Linked DNA regions of Mus musculus. The protein of the gene in region 2 interacts with the protein of the main gene of each other region in a pairwise test. Links are inferred from orthologs where the notes say so. Each region holds a gene or a part of one and is shown on either strand. Other genes may lie near its edges. The genes, in order: Brk1 and Mrfap1.

Region 1 (3,909 bases), on a different chromosome or scaffold from region 2:
CGAACATACCTGCCTTTGTCATTGAATCACATTCCTTTAATACTCCTTAAATCTAATTCTTCTGGGGACACATGAACTCTTTACTGACTACAGTTCTCTACTATAACCTCCACAGAAACTTACGGGCGTGAAGCTGTACCACTGACATATACATTTATGCTGGCCTCTCATTAGTTGGTATCTTTAACCTCCGCTCCCTGTTAAGAAAATCCATGTAAGATTATACAGAATCCTACACACTTTGTGAGCATACTTCTTTTTCCCCACGTGTAAGAGGTTTATTGGGGGGGGGGGCAAGGAAGGTGGCGGCAGAGAGAGAAGGGTGGGGGAGAGAGAGAATTCGTGAGGGTGCGTAAGGACACTTCTAATCCAGCACTTGGGAAGCAGAGCCAAAGGGCCATCACAAACTAGAGGACATCCTGATCTGTAGAGCTGCAGGCCAGCACAGAGCGACAGACAGTAATAATCTCAGGAGGGGGAGGGAAAAAATAGTTGAGGAAGGAGAACCATGAGTTGTACCAATTTACAAGACTCAAAACCAAAATGCAAAATGGAGTAGGGGACATGGAGCATGGATGGACAGATTAAGATCTCTTATTTATTGTATTTGAAGGTGGGTGTGGGCATGCACTATGTGGGGCCAGAAGACAACTTGTGACAGCTGGTTCTCTCCTTTCACCTTGTGGACCCTGAGGATTGTATTCAGGTTGGTGGCCTTTACCTGCCAAGCCATCTCAACAGCCTGAAAGAACTCTACATACAGAAAATGGATTAGTATTATTATTTACACTGATAGTCTCCCTTTATGTGTGTGTGTCATATCCCCTGGGACTAGAGCTATGGACCACTGTGAACTGCAACGTGGGTCCTGGGATTTGTACCTGGGTTCTTTGGAACTGCTTTTAACAGCTGAGCAATCTCTCGAGCCCTAGAAAATGGCTCATTTCTGTGGCTGTTCTGAGGACCAGGCTGGCCTCAAATGCATAGCACTCTTCCAGCCCTTGTCTCTCCAGTGCTAAGAGTACAGGTATGAGCCACCACATATAACAGGGAAGGGTTACCATGTTCCTCACTGCCAGCAGACCTGTGTAAGAACCAATTACGCCTGCTGATGTTTGCTTTGCTCTACCAGGCTGGACTCAAAACTCTCTATGAAGCAGATGACTTGGGAGTTCCTCCTGGTCCTCCTGCCTCTGCATCCTGAGTGCTGCTATTAAAGGCATGGTGTGTGGGTGCTAGGCCAATACTCTACAGACTAGGCATCCCCTGCCCCTTAATGATGCATTTCCAATTTCCTTTTTGTTCTCTTTTCTCAAAAAACAAAAACAAAACAAAACAAAAAACCCCCAACCAACCAAAAAACAAAACAAAACACAAAAAAAGGAGGAAAAAAAAGGAGAGAGAGAAAGAAAACTCTAAGAAGTGGGGGATGCCGGGGTCTTGTGCTTACCACTCAGGAGCCCAATCCCTGAACTACACCCCGTAATTGAAGCTACTGTTCGGTTACCTTCTATCATACTACTTAGGACTCATCGGGTCTTTAGCTAGAAAATATACGATTCACTTTAATTTTTTTCAAAATACAGCACTTTCTCCCCAAGATGCTGAAAGTTGCTAATTAGTAGAACCAAAGCACTCTAGTGAAAAAGATCACTGGATGCCATCTGCACGTCTTGTATTGTGTAAGAAGGTCCCTGAAAGAACCCTTCCGGAGACCATAAGAAGTCTGTAACAGGTTTTCAGTCCAGAAGGCTAGGAACGCACGCAGAAAGAAATCAAGACTGTCACTAGCCGGCCACACCTAGGAATAGTTTTTTGGAAAAGTGGACTCTGCTGAAACCATCTGCCCTGTAAAATCCGAGGAGCCAGACAGAAGCATCCAGAGCACCTACCATGAAGCAGATACAGGGCTAGAAAAGCCATTCCCAAGGCCCGAGCGGGCCCCATCCCTTACAACCCTCAGCACTAGCACCAAATCGAGCCGGGGATGAATGAACCTGCCGGGAGTGGTTAAACGGGAGCAATAGAAGGCATGACATCAAAGGGGTTCGGACTTCTTCCTGAAGGAGATGGACAACGAGCAGGAGTCTCTCAACAGTAAGCGCGACCGTGACCGTGACACGGCTGCGCACTGCCTGCCAAGTGAAGACTGGCACGGAAGCGCGGCGCAAACCGGGGCGGATGATGGATGGGCCTAAGAGGCTGGACAGTGGGCGTGCTGACGAGCGCAAGTGGGGCATGGCAACGGGCAGGGTAGACCCTCGGAAACGGCCCAGTGAGGCTCGGGGTGAGGGCACTGGGGCCGGCGGGCAGCCAAAGAGGAAGCGAGTAGCCAGGGCGGCGCGCCTCTCCTCCCCGCCGCCGGCCGCCTCCCAGGCCTCCCTCCTCCCAGCCTCCCCTGCTCGCCCGCTGACCGAAAGAGTTGAGAAAGTCTGAGATTTTCTTGATGCTGCTGGTGATGATCTCAATGTACTCCCGGTTCGCCCAGTCCTGGTGAATCTCCCGCTGCACCGGATCCTCTTGTCCCGCCATGGCGGCCGCCTGAGGAAGAGTGACTGCGCAGGCGCCGCGACCTCTACAGGCCTCCAGCGCGCCTGCGCCGCCAGCCAGTACCCGAGTGTTCGAGCCCCAGAAAGGGCTGGCAGAGCGACGCGCGTGCGCACTCTAATCCCTGCGCTCTAGCTTGGCTCCCACGCTGGGGTAAACAAGATTCCTCCACTCGCGATGTGAAGACTAAGAGCTACCCTGTCCCCGGTTACAAGCACCCGCTGACCACTAGCGGATCTTGTCGTTAGGGGGCGCCCACACATTCCCACCTCCGCCTAAGGGTTGCTCCAAGCTCTCTTGCACCTTGTTAGCTGTGATGGGCACAGTCCACGAATCCCGTTTATTCAGAATGCTTGTCATGCTTGGGTCACAACTCTGTTCATTCTCGTTTTCTTTTAAAATTTGTTGTTGTTGTTGTTTTTCGAGACAGGGTCTCTCTGTGTAGTCTTGGCTGTCCTTGTACTCCCTCTGTAGACCAGGCTGGCCTCGAACTCACAGAGATCAGCCTGCCTTTCCCTCCGGAGTGCTGAGATTAAAAATGTGGCCACCACCGCCAGGTTAAAATTATTTTATTCGTATTATATGTGAGCGCTTACGTGGCACAACACGCGGGCGGAAGTTACAGGACAACTTGCAGGAGTGGGTTCCTCACCTTCCATCTTGTGGGACTGAACACTCAGATCATCAGCTTCAGTGTCTTTATTGTTCGAGGTGTCCCACCAACTCTGAATCTCCATATTTACCAAATGAGCAAAATACTTTTCTTTCTTTCTTTCTCTTCTCTCTCTTTCTCTCTCTTTCTCTCTCTTTCTCTCTCTTTCTCTCTCTTTCTCTCTCTTTCTCTCTCTTTCTCTCTCTTTCTCTCTCTTTCTCTCTCTTTCTCTCTTTCTCTCTCTTTCTCTCTCTTTCTCTCTCTCTTTCTCTCTCTTTCTCTCTCTTTCTCTCTTTCTCTCTCTTTCTCTCTCTTTCTCTCTCTTTCTCTCTCTTTCTCTCTCTTTCTCTCTCTTTCTCTCTCTTTCTCTCTCTTTCTCTCTCTTTCTCTCTCTTTCTCTCTCTTTCTCTCTCTTTCTCTCTCTTTCTCTCTCTTTCTCTCTCTTTCTCTCTCTTTCTCTCTCTTTCTCTCTCTCTCTCTCTCTTTCTCTCTCTCTTTCTCTCTCTCTTTCTTTCTCTCTTTCTTTCTTTCTTTCTTTCTTTCTTTCTTTCTTTCTTTCTTTCTTTCTTTCTTTCTTTCTTTCTTTCTTTCTTTCTTTCTTTCTTTTTCCAAATCAGGGTTTGTCTGTGTAGCCCTGGCTGTCCTAGAACTCACTTTGTAGACCAGGCTGGCCTCGAACTCAGATATCCGCCTGTCTCTGCCTCCCGAGT
Region 2 (3,597 bases):
CCTGGCCTATCCCATTCTTCCTGACTTCTGAGGTTGTGCTCATCCAAGGCCAAGCTTATCAAAACAACACTCTGGAAAGCCTTCCTTACCCCTGCCATGTTCTAAGGCAATTGCATCTGTTAAGAGCCCAGAAGCTGGTGCCTCAGCAGTACCAAGAAGGAACCATACACGTGAGGTTCAATGGTCACTCCCGGATAGGAACATGCAGAGCAGTCAGAAGTTAGGCTGGGCTGCAGTTCCCTCAGCAGACACAAGAATTCTAAGATGTCTAGGGTGGGGTGTCCTTAAAAGGGAGGGCCCTAGACTTTGGCCACCTAGGAATGAGATGATGGCCACACAGGGTCAATCCCAGCAGTTGGGGACCCAGCCCTTCTTGTCTGAAGGGAGTCAATACATTGTTGCTGTTGTATCATCAAGACTGGTAAAGAACAGGAGTCAAGTAAAAGGCAAGTAAAAGGACTGGTCTCAGAGGCTAAGACTGTGGACTTGCTACTAGGAATCAAGACTTTCCTATTCTCACGTTTCCTACAGCAGTCGAAATCCCCTTCTGCTTACCCAGACTCCCAAAACTGGAGAATGTTCATTTAAACTAAACACAGGCCACTGAAGGAAGACTTCACTTAATATTTCTTAGTAACTCTCCGGGCTGATCTTTTCAAGCAAACGAATACTTTTATTAACATGTAAGATTTTGTTTTCAACATGGTAAGGGTTTTGACCTCAAACGCTTATCAGGTCTGCCACTCATACATTTATAGTTCGACTACATATGAACCTTTAAGACGCCTCTTCTTTTAAGTTTTGGGTCCATTGCAGGTTTTCCTTCCTAGGCCACACAGGGTATTGCAAGGATCTTTCATTTTATGGCCAGGATCTCCTCGAATATATGGGGATACCAACTTGTACAGACTAACAAGACCTCTTCTCCCATCCGAGGTTCCATTTCTTTTAGAAATGAGTTAGGCTGTCCCAACAAACTCACCAGGCAGGTTACAATAGATAGTGTAGCACATAAAATTTAAATTTTGCACAAAATACATCTCTCCTCCTTTGGTCTCACACAGAAATTAAAGTCCCCCAATAGAAACAATACTATCCTCCGACCCTTCTCCCAGGTCATCAGTCCTAGCCATGTAAGGCCCATCCACTGTCCCGGATGAAGTCTGGTCTCTTCTGCCATTGCTGCATGGAGTCTTCGAGAATTAACACAGCTCCTTCAGAACTTTCAGAGGCGGTGAGCTTCAACTCTGAGTCTCAAGTGTCACAGAGATTCAAAGTTCAGGGAGCTATCAGGTCACCCAAGAAAGAGCAAAGCACCTCAAAATTTAGGAACAACAACCAAAGGCCAGGAATGAACGTTATTCAACTGCCACAGGGCTTACAATCTAGGCCCTAATTCCCGTATGTGAGCGCATTTTCCAAATCAAAGTTATTTCCCCCAAACAAACAAAAAAAAGGAACCACCGAATAATCAAAAACTCATATCGAGGTCGTCAACCGCAGACCATAGCAGAAACGTAGTGTCAGTGAGAAACAGAGGGAAGACAGAGGGGAAAAGAAAAAAAAATAAGAAGGAGATAAAAAAAAAAAAAAAGGAAAACAAAAGGCTCTCTGGTTTCAGCTTCTCCAGGGTGTCATGTCAGCCAATCGCCATCACTCAACCAGAATCCATTGGCTGGAAACCTAAGGCACGGGCGGGAGAGATTCATCACCGAGAGGTTAATCACGCTGTCCGGACAGCAAAGCAAATACCCGGCCCCCTTCTGGACGCTGTCTCACTTAGGGCCCCATGCTCTCCAGCACCATCTGGAAACTTCCACGGTCTCCCCGCCGACGATTTGCTATTACTCCTTCCCCAGGGGGGGCCTAGTTTACTCCCGAGGCGACAAGCCAGCCTCCTCCCCCACCGTCGCCCACGCCCCGCCAGGCTCCCGCCCTTACCGCGGCCGGCTCCTCACGAAGACTCGCTCTTCTCTATCCGCCGCACGAGCTGCACCAGCATCTCGGCCATCTTCGCCATCTCCTGCGCCTTCTCGTCGGCCTTCTCCGCCCGGGGGCCGCGGGGCTCGGCGCCGCCGGCACCCTGCAGGTGGTTGAGGGCGCTCTCCTCGGAGGCCTCGACCTGCGTCTTGATCTGGATCAGCATATTGTCCATCTCCCACAGCTTGCCCCGGTTGCGCGCCGGCGCGCGCCCGCGCTCGCGCGTCAGCGACGCGATGTCCTCGCGCATCTCGTGGATGACGGGCAGCAGAAACTGCTCGAAGTCCTCCTCGGGCTCCAGCACCTCCACCTCCTCGGGCTCCGCCAGCTCCACCGCGTCCAGGGGCCGCATCGCCGCTGCTCTGCTCGTCTGCACGACCCTCACGGACGGAGCTCGGGCCGAGTCCTCAAAACTTCCGCCGCCGGTCCAACTTTCCGCCTCGGAGAAGCCACGGAGACGAGTGACTGCCGAGCGGGCGAGCGACGAACAAAATGGAGTCTCAACCGTCAACCAGCGCTCGGCGCTTTGCGACCCCTTTCACGACACCTCCGCGCCCCCTCTTTACGGCCGCGCTGAAAGGGGCGGGCGCGCTCGCGTCCACGAAGGGGCGGGGCGAGCGCCTCTGCGGCCGCGCGCTGACATTAGGTCGGCCTCCCTTTCGCAGCTTTTGCAGCTGCTCTGGGTGATGCGAAGTTCGTCCCTTCCTGTATCTTATTCCGATTTTATTTATTTACTTTTTGAAACAGGACCTCACGCTGTAGCCAAGGCTGGCCTGGAACTCAATTATTTGGCTTAAACTGATCTTGAACTCTAGGCAGTCCTCTTGCCGTAGCTTCCCGTGTCGCAGGTGTGAGCCACCGCACCCGACAAGTTTACTTTTAAAAAAGAAAAAGAGCCCGCCTTTAATTCCAGCACCTGGGAGGTAGAGGCGGCAGGCAGACCGATCCTTGAGTTTGAGGTCATCCTGGTGTACATAGTGAGTTCAGTACATAGACCCTGTTTCAAAACAAATCAAAACCACCAAACAAACAACAACAACAACAACAAAAACAGTTTTTCGAAACTGGGGAAAGAGGAATCTTGGAAAGCCATGTGTGGACAGTCATCCTGCTCATAGCTCCGCCCCTTTGGTTAGTTTAAGTGAATTATCATATCTTGATTGACGGAGTGGCTGGGTGTGTTTTTACCTGACAGAGCTCCTGGCTTCCTAAGGTGAAACTATTGTCTGATGCTTTCTGAGGCCCCAGGTCACATTCAGTTGGTGATCACTTGCTGTGGAAAGGACAGAAGTTGGCTCAGACGACTACATTTGCGTAACTGTTACTCAACCAACACTGAACTTTAAGGGGAGATGCCGAATTCTTAGTCTACGATCAGACAGTACTTTCTCAGGAATCTAAACTATGTATCTCACTGGTTTTCTAACCACAAGTCGTGAAACCATTTTGCAAAAACCAACCATAGGCATATATAAAGTGCATATCTTTAATTGGACTCTACACTCAGTGGCTTTTGTTTAAAAATAATCCAGGGTAAGAACATGAATAAGCAAATGGTTCAGAGGACAATGGGATACTGTTGCACACTGCATCAGGATACTTAGACTGCAGAACCCT

What was found.
Region 1: the proteins of Mrfap1 (region 2) and Brk1 interact in binary tests that used the Homo sapiens proteins (3 or more experiments, as listed by UniProt). The link is inferred for Mus musculus from reciprocal best matches to the Homo sapiens genes MRFAP1 and BRK1.

The regions. Positions count from the first base shown.
Region 1 is NC_000072.6:113,603,402-113,607,310, reverse strand, and holds the start of Brk1 (protein BRICK1), read right to left. Parts: upstream 2,540-3,909; 5' UTR 2,533-2,539; coding exon 2,415-2,532; intron 1-2,414. UniProt on the Homo sapiens protein: Involved in regulation of actin and microtubule organization. Part of a WAVE complex that activates the Arp2/3 complex. As component of the WAVE1 complex, required for BDNF-NTRK2 endocytic trafficking and signaling from early endosomes.
Region 2 is NC_000071.6:36,794,262-36,797,858, forward strand, and holds Mrfap1 (MORF4 family-associated protein 1), read right to left. Parts: upstream 2,494-3,597; 5' UTR 2,333-2,493; coding exon 1,955-2,332; 3' UTR 1,942-1,954; intron 1,684-1,941; 3' UTR 606-1,683; downstream 1-605.